2 linked regions of the Mytilus edulis genome follow. The protein of the gene in region 2 purifies or fractionates together with the protein of the main gene of each other region. This does not show direct contact. Links are inferred from orthologs where the notes say so. Each region holds a gene or a part of one and is shown on either strand. Other genes may lie near its edges.

What was found.
Region 1: the proteins of F-box/WD repeat-containing protein 7-like (region 2) and dolichol-phosphate mannosyltransferase subunit 1-like purify together in Homo sapiens (affinity purification with mass spectrometry, with the first as the bait; 3 studies listed by BioGRID). This does not show direct contact. The link is inferred for Mytilus edulis from reciprocal best matches to the Homo sapiens genes FBXW7 and DPM1.

The regions. Positions count from the first base shown.
Region 1 is NC_092348.1:4,567,468-4,574,613, forward strand, and holds the start of dolichol-phosphate mannosyltransferase subunit 1-like, read right to left. Parts: upstream 4,760-7,146; 5' UTR 4,708-4,759; coding exon 4,604-4,707; intron 3,107-4,603; coding exon 3,007-3,106; intron 1-3,006. Other genes in the region: protein FAN-like, read left to right, coding at 5,013-5,050, 6,589-6,687, 7,092-7,146. UniProt on the Homo sapiens protein: Transfers mannose from GDP-mannose to dolichol monophosphate to form dolichol phosphate mannose (Dol-P-Man) which is the mannosyl donor in pathways leading to N-glycosylation, glycosyl phosphatidylinositol membrane anchoring, and O-mannosylation of proteins; catalytic subunit of the dolichol-phosphate mannose (DPM) synthase complex.
Region 2 is NC_092351.1:67,283,276-67,290,421, reverse strand, and holds the start of F-box/WD repeat-containing protein 7-like, read right to left. Parts: upstream 4,532-7,146; 5' UTR 4,442-4,531; intron 2,071-4,441; 5' UTR 2,046-2,070; coding exon 1,941-2,045; intron 1,196-1,940; coding exon 1,077-1,195; intron 466-1,076; coding exon 201-465; intron 1-200. UniProt on the Homo sapiens protein: Substrate recognition component of a SCF (SKP1-CUL1-F-box protein) E3 ubiquitin-protein ligase complex which mediates the ubiquitination and subsequent proteasomal degradation of target proteins.

The sequences.
Region 1 (7,146 bases), on a different chromosome or scaffold from region 2:
TTTTTTCTAGTTGTTTTGCCACCTCTATGGATAACTTACAATTTTGTCTTTCACATATATTTTCTCTAGTTGTTTTGCCACCTCTAATGATAACTTACAATTTTGTCTTTGCCATATATTTTCTCTAGTTGTTTTGCCACCTCTAAGGATAACTTACAATTTTGTCTTTGCCATATATTTTCTCTAGTTGTTTTGCCACCTCTAAGGATAACTTACAATTTTGTCTTTGCCATATATTTTCTCTAGTTGTTTTGCCACCTCTAAGGATAACTTACAATTTTGTCTTTGCCAACTCTAAGGATAACTTACAATTTTGTCTTTGCCATATATTTTCTCTAGTTGTTTGGCCATCTCTAAGGATAACTTACAATTATGTCTTTTCCATATATTTTCTCTAGTTGTTTTGCCAACTCTAAGTAAAACTTACAATTTTGTCTTTGCCATATATTTTCTCTAGTTGTTTTGCCACCTCTAAGTAAAACTTACAATTTTGTCTTTGCCATATATTTTCTCTAGTTGTTTTGCCACCTCTAAGTAAAACTTACAATTTTGTCTTTGCCATATATTTTCTCTAGTTGTTTTGCCACCTCTAAGTAAAACTTACAATTTTGTCTTTGCCATATATTTTCTCTAGTTGTTTTGCCACCTCTAAGTAAAACTTACAATTTTGTCTTTTCCATATATTTTCTCTAGTTGTTTTGCCACCTCTAATGATAACTTACAATTTTGTCTTTGCCATATATTTTCTCTAGTTGTTTTGCCACCTCTAAGGATAACTTACAATTTTGTCTTTGCCATATATTTTCTCTAGTTGTTTTGCCACCTCTAAGGATAACTTACAATTTTGTCTTTGCCATATATTTTCTCTAGTTGTTTTGCCAACTCTAAGTAAAACTTACAATTTTGTCTTTGCCATATATTTTCTCTAGTTGTTTTGCCACCTCTAAGTAAAACTTACAATTTTGTCTTTGCCATATATTTTCTCTAGTTGTTTTGCCACCTCTAAGTAAAACTTACAATTTTGTCTTTGCCATATATTTTCTCTAGTTGTTTTGCCACCTCTAAGGATAACTTACAATTTTGTCTTTGCCATATATTTTCTCTAGTTGTTTTGCCACCTCTAAGGATAACTTACAATTTTGTCTTTGCCAACTCTAAGGAAAACTTACAATTTTGTCTTTGCCATATATTTTCTCTAGTTGTTTGGCCATCTCTAAGGATAACTTACAATTATGTCTTTTCCATATATTTTCTCTAGTTGTTTTGCCAACTCTAAGTAAAACTTACAATTTTGTCTTTGCCATATATTTTCTCTAGTTGTTTTGCCACCTCTAAGTAAAACTTACAATTTTGTCTTTGCCATATATTTTCTCTAGTTGTTTTGCCACCTCTAAGTAAAACTTACAATTTTGTCTTTGCCATATATTTTCTCTAGTTGTTTTGCCACCTCTAAGTAAAACTTACAATTTTGTCTTTGACATATATTTTCTCTAGTTGTTTTGCCACCTCTAAGTAAAACTTACAATTTTGTCTTTGACATATATTTTCTCTAGTTGTTTTGCCACCTCTAATGATAACTTACAATTTTGTCTTTGCCATATATTTTCTCTAGTTGTTTGGTCATCTCTAAGGATAACTTACAATTATGTCTTTTCCATATATTTTCTCTAGTTGTTTTGCCAACTCTAAGTAAAACTTACAATTTTGTCTTTGCCATATATTTTCTCTAGTTGTTTTGCCACCTCTAAGTAAAACTTACAATTTTGTCTTTGCCATATATTTTCTCTAGTTGTTTTGCCACCTCTAAGTAAAACTTACAATTTTGTCTTTGCCATATATTTTCTCTAGTTGTTTTGCCACCTCTAAGTAAAACTTACAATTTTGTCTTTGCCATATATTTTCTCTAGTTGTTTTGCCACCTCTAAGTAAAACTTACAATTTTGTCTTTTCCATATATTTTCTCTAGTTGTTTTGCCACCTCTAAGGATAACTTACAATTTTGTCTTTGCCATATATTTTCTCTAGTTGTTTTGCCACCTCTAAGGATAACTTACAATTTTGTCTTTGCCAACTCTAAGGATAACTTACAATTTTGTCTTTGCCATATATTTTCTCTAGTTGTTTGGCCATCTCTAAGGATAACTTACAATTATGTCTTTTCCATATATTTTCTCTAGTTGTTTTGCCAACTCTAAGTAAAACTTACAATTTTGTCTTTGCCATATATTTTCTCTAGTTGTTTTGCCACCTCTAAGTAAAACTTACAATTTTGTCTTTGCCATATATTTTCTCTAGTTGTTTTGCCACCTCTAAGTAAAACTTACAATTTTGTCTTTGCCATATATTTTCTCTAGTTGTTTTGCCACCTCTAAGTAAAACTTACAATTTTGTCTTTGCCATATATTTTCTCTAGTTGTTTTGCCACCTCTAAGTAAAACTTACAATTTTGTCTTTGCCATATATTTTCTCTAGTTGTTTTGCCACCTCTAATGATAACTTACAATTTTGTCTTTGCCATATATTTTCTCTAGTTGTTTTGCCACCTCTAAGGATAACTTACAATTTTGTCTTTGCCATATATTTTCTCTAGTTGTTTTGCCACCTCTAAGGATAACTTACAATTTTGTCTTTGCCATATATTTTCTCTAGTTGTTTTGCCACCTCTAAGGATAACTTACAATTTTGTCTTTGCCATATATTTTCTCTAGTTGTTTTGCCACCTCTAAGGATAACTTACAATTTTGTCTTTGCCAACTCTAACGATAACTTACAATTTTGTCTTTGCCATATATTTTCTCTAGTTGTTTGGCCATCTCTAAGGATAACTTACAATTATGTCTTTCCCATTTATTTTCTCTAGTTGTTTTGACACCTCTAAGTCAAACTTACAATTCTGTCTTTGCCATATATTTTCTCTAGTTGTTTTGCCACCTCTAAGTAAAACTTACAATTTTGTCTTTGCCATATATTTCTCTAGTTGTTTTGCCACCTCTAAGTAAAACTTACAATTTTGTCTTTGCCATATATTTTCTCTAGTTGTTTTGCCACTTCTAATGTTCCATCAGGACTGCCATCATCAATTACAATGATTTCAAAATCATATTTACTGCAATCAAAAAAAAATTTGATGTGCTACATTTGTACTTTGAGAAGTTGGATAGTAGCATATATAAACATTATAGATATAAAAGATAGAGAAGTGTGGCAGTGCAGTTAAGAATGGGTTAACCACATATCATTCTGCATGATCTGTGCATGTACTAAATTTGGCTTCTGGTATCTCTAATTTAATGTTGTTTGTCTTTTACATTGTATGTCAGTTAACTTTTGTGAGAGTTGGTATTTGCTGTTTGTACTGTAAATTAGTTTTGGTGCTTCAAGTTATACTTGTATTAGTCAAAAGCATTATTACCATTTGAACAGGTATATGTACAAATTATTCAACTGATGATATTTATTTTCAAAAGATTTGTCATGTTTGTAAAGCAGCTACATTTGTTTCTTCTTATCTATAGTCCAGAAATTCAATCTTTTTATATAAATACAGATATAAGAAGATTTGGTATGAGAGCCAATGAGACATCTCTCCATTCAAGTCACAATTTGTAAAGTAAACCCTTATAGATGTTTGTAGAAAACAATTATATATCATGTATATTGGATATACTTGTATGTGGTTCAGAAACTGACAAGTGCAGTACATTTTACTACATCTTTAAGTACCAGTTTTTAATATTGTTGAAGGCTAAAGTGAATATTCAAATTATTGATTGTTGGTTGCTACATGTATATGATGTAGTTAACATCCAGTGGCAAATATTTCATTATTCAAATGAGAATTTAGTGTGCTTTCAAGGTATATATAGAACTATTCTAAATCCTATATGCTCTTTCCAATTTCACTTTTAACATTGATCTGCCCCAATGACTTGAAGATTGTGTTTTCTGATGCAATAATGTCATGGTTGTAGAGAGGGGGGATAGGACCTTTATCGGGACTCCGGGATCGGGTGTTTTTAAGCTTGGGATTTCAGGATTGACCCTTTCTGGATCCGGGAATTCTATTTTTCGAATTTCGGGACCTCGGGATTTCGTGTTTTTTAGCTCGGGATTTCTGGATATCGTGTTTTTAAGCCCGGGATTTCGGGATCAGGACCCCTCCTAACCCCCCTCTGTAGACAATAGACAATATTTTATTGACGCAAACACATTTACAATAAATGGTAATGACCGAATGGATAAACAATTTACAATACATGGTAATAAAATACAAACAATTGTGTATAAGTGAATAAAAAATTTAAAGGTTTAATGAAAATCTATTGCAATCAATCACTTCTTGCAAGTAAATGTAGATCATAAAAAACTTATGAGAAAGTATTTTTTTAAATCTTTCAATAAATTTTAATAAATCCCTTTTTAGGCAACAATTTTCTAGTCTTTTTTTTTTGCCTACTAAAAAGTTTCTTCATAATGCATAAATGCTTGACATCTACAAGGAAACATACAGGTATAGTAAAAAATATTCATAAAAATGTATTTTTTTACTACAAAAATTTATGTAAAATGGATTTATTCATTTCTTGACATCATTATTTGTTACCTCTCTGTAAAATATTTCACAATAAGCCACACTATTAGAGGTAGATTGTCCTTTTCGTTGTAAGTTGGAAGGAGAACAGAATATTTGTTTTTCTTCTCAGCCATGTTGGCACTTTTAAGGGACAGGCTATTTCTCAAGAACGATATAATTACTGTTAGGTGGATATATCGAACCAAAATATAAAAAAAGTTAAACTTTTGTTTAAAATCTGATAAAATTGAATGGTACAAGAAAATTAACAAGAATTCAAATGTTAGATCATTTAAAAAATATTTGTTTTATTGATAAAATGACTTGTCCCCAAATTTAACCTTCAAACCGGAAGTAGAATAAAACTCTAATCAACCCGGAAACAGACCAAATGGATATGAACACAGACTGAATTTCACATTTATGAATTCTTTGAATAATGTCTTTTTTAGAAAATGACACTGCTTCAAAAGAAAGGTTTATGATTTTTTTATATGTATATATCATGTAGTTTCATAAGAATTTATACACTGTCATTCACTTACAAATGACTTAGTTTTTCTTTGTTGGGTTATGTGATATCTTATGTCTTATGACTTGTGTTATTTCTATGAAGATTTTTGTGGCTTATAGCTGAGGGAGGTGATGGGGGTATTTTCATGACGAAAAAACTGAAATAATAATTAATTCTTGCCAAATGACATTAACGGTAATTTTTGGGGCATGACAATAAAAATGTACAAAAGAATCGACTGATTTAGACGAAACACTTTCAATTTTTTTCTAAAAATGTCAACATGGTCAATAATGATAACTATTTGAGACCTCTGACGAATCATGATAAGCATAATTTGACGAATCATGGCAAAATTTTAACCAATTTGACGCTAATGGTAACCAAAAATGGCCATTTGACGCCTGATGGTAAAGGGCATTAGCCGGAATCATATATCTAAGTGACAAGTCCCATCAGTATATATGTTCCTGCTAATAGTAATACTGGTAACAGTGCACTGAAACATACATTATCAAGGTTTTTCACTGAATGAAGAGTTTGAATTTTCTGCATTTTTACCTCACCTGGCCCGGAGGGCCAAGTGAGCTTTTCTCATCACTTGGCGTCCGTTGTCGTCATCCATCTTCGTTGTCCGTTGTCTTCTTTAACTTTTTACATTTTGAACTTCTTCTAGAGAACCACTGATTGGAATGAAACCAAACATGGCATGAATGTTTCTTATGAGGTGCTGACCAAGTGTTAATTGTTACTTTGTAGCCGATCCATCATCCAAGATGGCCGCCAGCAGGGGACTAAGTTTAACATAGGACCCTACGGGAAATGCATACAAATGACTTCTTCTAGAGAACCACTGAATGGAATGAAACCAAACATAGCATGAATGTTCCTTATGAGGTGCTGACCAAGTGTTGTTACTTTGTAGCCAATCTATCATCCAGGATGGCTGCCAGCAGGGGACTTAGTTTAACATAGGTTCCTATTGGAAATACATACAAATGTCTTCTTTTAGTGAACGACTGAATTGAATAAAATCAAACATAGCATAAAGTATAAAAATGAGAATAATGCAGACTTTGTCAAAACCAAGAAATCAAACATCCACCCAAAATGCAATTTCCCTCAATCAACAAAAATGTGTATCCACAAAAGCACAAATATCTTACAACAACTCCAACCAATGAACAACTATGTTACAACAACTCCAACCAATGAACAACTATGTTACAACAACTCCAACCAATGAACAACTATGTTACAACAACTCCAACCAATGAACAACTATGTTACAACAACTCCAACCAATGAACAACTATGATGGAGAGAAAGATTGGCATACTTTACTATGATGGAGATTGGCATACTTTACTATGTTTGTGCTTCTGATCTCCTTATTAAACTTTATTTTAAAACTAAACATGCTAAATGTCATCATGTGTTATTAATTATTTAACTATTTTTTTATGACTTGTATATTAGAAGGTTATCCATTCTTTTCCAGGTTTAATCTGTTATTACTAGATCCAGGAGAAATCTATTTTGAAGACTACAGTGTTTTCTATTATCCTTGTGGTCTTCCAGAACCAGAAGCTGTCAAAAGGTACACAATGTTTTTATGTTTCCAATTATATTATTCAAATGATTTTACAAAAATATTTGTCTGACCTTTCTCATTTAAATGAATGAGACTTCTATGATAGATAATGAAGACATCATGAAAACATGTAAGTTGCACATTGGTACTTTTTTTTTTTGCTTGGACAAAAACATTATTTCTCTGATAAAGTATTATTTTGAAAGGATTTTTAAAGATTCTTTATGATAAAAATCAAACAAAATAATAATTTTGGCTGAAAATTCTGTATTCATCTGCATATTTTTTTAAAATCTTTTATTCAGTAAAATTGCTTGTTTATGTCAATTTTAATCAAAATATTAGATAGATTTTGCAATTTGTTTTTTATTGTGATAACACAGCACACTATTTGTTCTTTTTTCTTACAGGAAACAGAGAGGACATTTGAAAATATGTTCCAAGTCAGTTGTGTTTGTTCCAAAG
Region 2 (7,146 bases):
TTATGAGAATTTTAAACTATATTGTCACACACAAATAATTGAAGGCACTTAATGAGATACTATTGGTGGTGGTCTTTGAAGAAAGATAGTTTGAACAGAAATTATCATCTAATGAGGGAGGATAAAACAATGACAAATTCAAGTTCCATAACAGCCCTAAGATAAGATGGTTTACAGACAATAATTTGTAAGATGCTAACCACATGGCTACTGAAGAGTCCATTGACTGGTATAGGAATCCTAGATTTATGTTGAGCATTAGACCTGTCTTCTTCACGGAACATAACCTCATCGCCAGACTCTTCCTCTGACATGTGACCTTCGTGGGATACAATACTGTTACCATCATCAACATGTTCCTCTGTTGATTTGAACAGTGCTCGTTGATTGTGTCTGATAGATCTGGCTGATAACCCACTAGATGATGGCTGTTCCTTACAAACATTATCTTTTACTTTAGGTGTCCTGAAAAAATAAGTTGAATAATCATACATCATATTTAATGAACAAAACATAAAAGTACCATTTTTTTTTTAAACATGCATTTTTTACATGGCATGCAAGTTTATTTATAATACATGCCACATTCCTTTTGAACTAAAAATTTGAAAAAAAAGCCCAACAACTGAAAGTTTCATTTTTTTTAAATGTTCAAAATAAAAGTAAGAAACTTTTATTGAATTATTTTCAATTACATACAATGTTATGTAACCTGACAAATATTTCACTCATACCTGCCAAACCTACCATTTTGATTGGGAAGCACTTGCACAAAATCATGAATTGAAGAGATAAAGTATACTTTTTAAATGTTATTGGTGCTTTGTAGATGAATATGTTAACCGGTTATATATCTAACTTCGAAATGTTGTATGTTGTAAGTGCAAAATCTCCCTCTTTTTCATAAAAAAAATAATATACATGCATTGTCAGAAAATATCAAATGTAAAATTTGTACTTGTTATGAGACAGTTAAAAATACAACCCATGCTTTTCCTCCAGTTTCAAAAGCTTATCCAATTATAGATTTAGTATTTTGTACAATGTAGTATACTGTATTTAAGTATATAAATTACCTGACAGCTTTGCGTTTGCGGTTACTACATGTCAACTGAGTACGACTTTGTTCCACAATACAATCCCCAACTCCTGGGACACTACTCAAATCCTTTACGGTTGAGAAACCTCCAAATGACTGCAATAAATTATATGGCAAATCTTTAAAAATGTACTGTGCCAAATAGGTTACTTTGAAGTATACAATTAATAGAATTGTAAATTATTTCAGCTGAAAAAATTTCAGAAAAAAGGTATCAAAATTCAGGTTACTCAAATTCCAAAGCTGTTGTTCTTAGACTCATTCCAATCTTAAAATTCTTTGATCTGTTTTAAAACCTATGATTTGCACTTGTTGCTTGCCCCCTTTCTCTCAATCTACAAGTATGTATGTATGTATGTTAAGTTTCATTTGTTTTGAATCTATAAGCTAGAAAGCAAAGAGCCTAAAGTTTGATGTGCCGATCTGCATACATGTATATAAACAATGGGGTCTGTTGTAGTTTGCAATGTGTTTTGAGATTTGATCATTATTGAAGGTCATACAATGACCATTTGTTGCTTCCTTTGACGTCATTTGGTTTGACTGTCACAGGTGGAGTTTTTTTCATTGGCAATCATACATGTACCACATCTTTTTATATAGACAGTTTTATATAACTAAAAGCCAATTAAAGTGCATACCTATTTGAATTTGTAGTAAAATTACAAATGAAACAAATTTGTAAAGTGTACACAACTGTAAGACACTGTTAGGCCCTCAACAATGAGTAAAACAAAAACTGTATAATAAGAAGCTATAGTGCCCAGGCTTGACAATATGTAAATACTTTTAATGTCCACTTTTCAAGAAATTTAAAATAATGACCATGAGAAAAACTGACCTTCCTGTATTTGATGATAGCTTTTGCTTTTCTTAAACCAATACCATTTACTTTTTCAAAGTCTTCTACACTAGCCTTGTTGATATCTATTTTCTTGCTTGCCATTATCACAGCCAATCATCTTTATTTTCTGTAAAACATTATCAATATCATGAATGTAAAGTTAGGTCGTCAGCATGCAATACATAATTTGTAATAATAAATATGATGTCGGAAAAACAAGCACATATTGTATATAATTAAAGCACCAGATCATATTTGTACCTTTTTTGAGGGAAATTGTGATGTCATGGTGCATTCTCAATAGCACTAAAACCCATGATACAAGATACATTTGTACATCACTTTAAGGCCAGTCATGTCAATGTTTTTATCAATTTCAAAGGATTAGGATTTATACTTCACATGTACTTCACAATAGAAACAAAGTATAGGAATCATGTATTAATTTATCAAAAAGATCAATGTTCATCGACAGTCATCCAGTGTATACCAGAATTATGAAGACATACTAAATGTTACTTATCCTATGAGGAGAAAAAAAACACCAAAAAATGTCATCAAAAATGTTATCTTGTGTGAATTCTGTTATTGTTTCATGACCTGTTAAAAGTCTCCTCATTTACTTGTACCCTATCTCTTCTTTATTCACATAACTGACCTCCTGAACACTGTAACACCTTCTGTAAGGCTGTTTGCTAGCAACTGAATACTGTATAGAACCATCAAAATAGAAAAAAGACCACAAACTTAGAACTACAAGAAGATTGATAAACAACTGGGGAATGCGATTTCAATTATTTAATGGAAAAAAATGTTACATTGTTATATATGCTTTAAAAACAAAAGCTAGAGATTTAATATGCTAAATGGACACATTCTCCAACAACTCACACCTAGGAAAACAAATATCAGAAGATCTGAAGTAAAGCACACACAAAAAGTCATAATAACTGTTGCAAATAAGGCAAATTCAACCCTAAGTTTTCTGAGAAGGAACCTAAGGTACATTTACATGTACTGTCCGCATGAATGGTAAGAACTGGTACAAGGGCTGTATAGCCAGTCAAGGTCGTTAAAAACTTTCATTTGTTTGGTAAGAAAACTGCTAACATTTCACAAGTACACTCAACAATGGAAGATGCAGCAACAGCATAGCATGAACAGCCACAAACAAGCTAGAAAGGTTCAAAATATTTAATAACTTAAGACAAGAAAAGATGGATGCATAACAAAATCCTTGTCAAACTTACAAATTACAAAAACTACAGCATACATTTAGATGCACATACAAAAAGCTTATATTTGGGTACACAGTGGTTGAGGGGCAGGTTCCTGCTATTGATCCAGACTAAAACTAACAAGAATGTGTCCCAAGTACACAGATGCCCCACTCGCACTATCATTTTCCATGTTCCAAGGACTTTGAAATTGGGTAAATATATAATTTGGTATTAAAATTAGAAAGATTATACTATAGGGAACATGTGTACTAAGTTTCAAGTTAACCTGAAGCGGGAAGAACGAACGAACGGATGAACGAAAGGGGCCACAGATCAGAAAACATAATGCCCCTCTACTATCGTAGGTGGGGCATAAAAATTAGCTAGATAAAACCATGTATCATATGTACTAGTCCAAATAATTATGACGTCTGGCAAGGCTATTTTTAATTTTTTTCTGGGACGCCTTCCTACAACGAAGGCGTCCCAGAAAAAAATTAAAATAGCCTTGCCAGACGTCATAATTATTTGGACTACATATGTACCAACTCTCTTTGTGTCCACAAATTATAATCAACTAGTACCATCTAGAACTAGTTGTGCGCACAACAAGCATTGACAAGTGCAAGTCTTTTTATTAAGAGCATTTAATCTGCCCACACAAACTGACACCTACAACTCATTGTATAAAAGCCAGTACTTGTTATTATGACCTGAACATGTACAGATATTTCTTTCAGTCATGACTTTTCTTTGTCCTTAAATGTACATGATGTAAGTTGATTTTCCCATTGGTATATTTCTCCCCCTACATGTAGATTAGCAGGATTAGAAAGATATGCTTTAAGTTAGAAGGAATTAAATAAATGGGTAGAGACTGTGGTTAACGTAAAGTTTATTGAACCATCACGGTATGGTGTCTTGTTTTCTTTGAAGTTCAACAACGAATCAATACCTTCAAAAAGGCAACCTTTATACTTATTGTATTTCATGTAGTTAGTATACTCGACTGTCTGTGTAATACAATATAAAACATTGCTTAAAACAAATCATAATTTGATTTCTGATCATCTTAGTTTTCCCTAGATTAAGTTGATAACCACGCGATCAATGTCAAGAAAAATATCTAAAATCGAACAAAAAAGGGTCGTGGCCGCGTAACATTAATCAGCTGTTTGATTGCCATGCAAATCCGACAGAGAAACTGGATCTAGCAAAGAAACGTGAAACTATATGCTTTAATATTGATACTGTGGCATAGCAAGGCCGTTGTCCTACCTGAAATGGGGGCGATTTGTAGTGTTTACGTAGGAGAACTTTATCCGTTCCATCGCCATATTTATTTATCGATGATAGACGGAGAGTGACGAAAATAGCCGAATCTGAAAATAGGTCTATAAACCAAAAAGAACTTGACAACGTACCTACTCGAACACTTGATATATGTGTACACGAATTTAGATGTACTAAAGTCTATACAAATCTTTGATGTTCAGTTGTAAATATTGTGGCAAGCAAATAATTAATAAGAATAATAAAAAAATATCACATCTTCACTTTTTTTTTCAGTAAATCATGAACTTGTGACATACGTTAGCAATAAAGATATTATATACTTAATAAAAAAATACAAATAAATATGTTGTAGAGTAGGCATGGTCAACAAAACACAGGCATAAGATAAGCTCTACAGCCATAGTGTCTGTGTCTACAGCGCTTTTAAATTACATGAAGGATTTGTATATCCTTGATTATCATTACATAAATAAGACGCAACAGAAAGAAAGCAACACGTTATTAATGAGATAATTAAATAAAGATAAAATATTTTTTATTCCAATTAAAGGGACCACGAAGAGCAAAGTAATTTATTACAATGATTTTTATAACTGACACAATAATGCTGATATAAATCATATATAAATATGAATCTCAATTCTTAGATGTTAAACCACAGCCAGATCAGAGCCACACACATATTAGAGAAAAAAGGCATAACAATTATATCTATTATTAATTGAAACGAACACATAAGCAATATAGCCTTCTATGATGTATATAATTTAACTTTATTTAAGTTTTCCTTTTTAACTATTTTGGTGTTTTAAACAATTTTTTTACATAATATATTTGACATAAATATAGATATATATATAATTTATAAACTTTATTGAAAAGCACTTTACGCCCATATGGGCCAACACAGCTTGTAAATAGCCAACGAGAAGAGTTTTATTACATTGATGTAAAATGAAATAAGAAGATGTGGTACGAGTGCCATTGAGACAACTCTACATCCAAGTCTTTCAAAATGTGTAAAAAGTAAAACTAGTATAGGTCAAAGTAAGGCTTTCAACGCGGAGCCTTGACTCACATTGAACAGCAAGCTATATAGGACCCTAGAATGACTAGTTTAAAACAATTCAAACAGAAAAAACCAAGGATCTACTCTATATAAAAATTGAAAATGAGAAACAAGAAACAATCACGAACCACATTAACAAAAGACAACCACTGAACAGATTCTTGAAGTTCAACTGGTGCAAACGAATGCAGCAGGTTTAAACGTTTTAACAGACACCAAACTTCACCCTAACCCGAAATATTAGTGTAACAGAACAACATAGAAAGACACACTATAAAATATCAATTGAAAGGGTTTGACTCAAACAAAAAGACTTATTAACAAAAAAAAAACAAGTAAACATACACATGCCTGCTACTCTAGCTCATATTTCCATTTAATTAAGGTCAGTTTGGACACAGCCTTAGTCACAGAGTTAGTTTTTGTACATGCCTGTTACTCTTTCTTATATTTCCATTGAGTTAGTGAGTGTGAACACATCATAGTCATAAGGTTAGTTTCGTTTCTATGATGTACATGCCCGTTAGTCTTGAAAATATCTCCATCAAGTTGAGCTCAAAGTGAACACAGCTTTAGTCAAGGCGTAAGTTTTGTTACATTGATGTACATGCATGCCTGTTACTCTTGCTCTTATTTCCATTGAGTTAAGGTCAATGGGAAAACAGCCTTAGACATAAAGTTAGTTTGGTACATTGACGTACAAGACACTTACTCTTGCTCATATTTCCATTGAGTTAAGGTCAATGTGAACACAGTCTTAGACATAAAGTTAGTTTGGTACATTGATGTACAAGACAGTTACTCTTGCTCATAGTTCCATTGAGTTAAGGTCAATGTGAACACAGCCTTAGACATAAAGTTAGTTTGGTACATTGACGTACAAGACAGTTACTCTTGCTCATATTTCCATTGAGTTAAGGTCAATGTGAACACAGCCTTAGACATAAAGTTAGTTTGGTACATTGACGTACAAGACAGTTACTCTTGCTCATATTTCCATTGAGTTAAGGTCAATGTGAATACAGTCTTAGACATAAAGTTAGTTTGGTACATTGACGTACAAGACAGTTAATCTTGCTCATATTTCCATTGAGTTAAGGTCAATGTGAACACAGCCTTAGACATAAAGTAAGTTTGGTACATTGACGTACAAGACAGTTACTCTTGCTCATAGTTCCATTGAGTTAAGTTCAATGTGAACACAGCCTTAGACATAAAGTTAGTTTGGTACATTGACGTACAAGACAGTTAATCTTGCTCATATTTCCATTGAGTTAAGGTCAATGTGAACACAGTCTTAGTCAAACAGTTAGTTTGGTACATTGACGTACAAGACAGTTACTCTTGCTCATATTTCCATTGAGTTAAGGTCAATGTGAACACAGCCTTAGACATAAAGTTAATTTGGTACATTGATGTACAAGACAGTTACTCTTGCTCATAGTTCCATTGAGTTAAGGTCAATGTGAACACAGTCTTAGTCAAACAGTTAGTTTGGTACATTGACGTACAAGACAGTTACTCTTGCTCATATTTCCATTGAGTTAAGGTCAATGTGAACACAGCCTTAGACATAAAGTTAATTTGGTACATTGATGTACAAGACAGTTACTCTTGC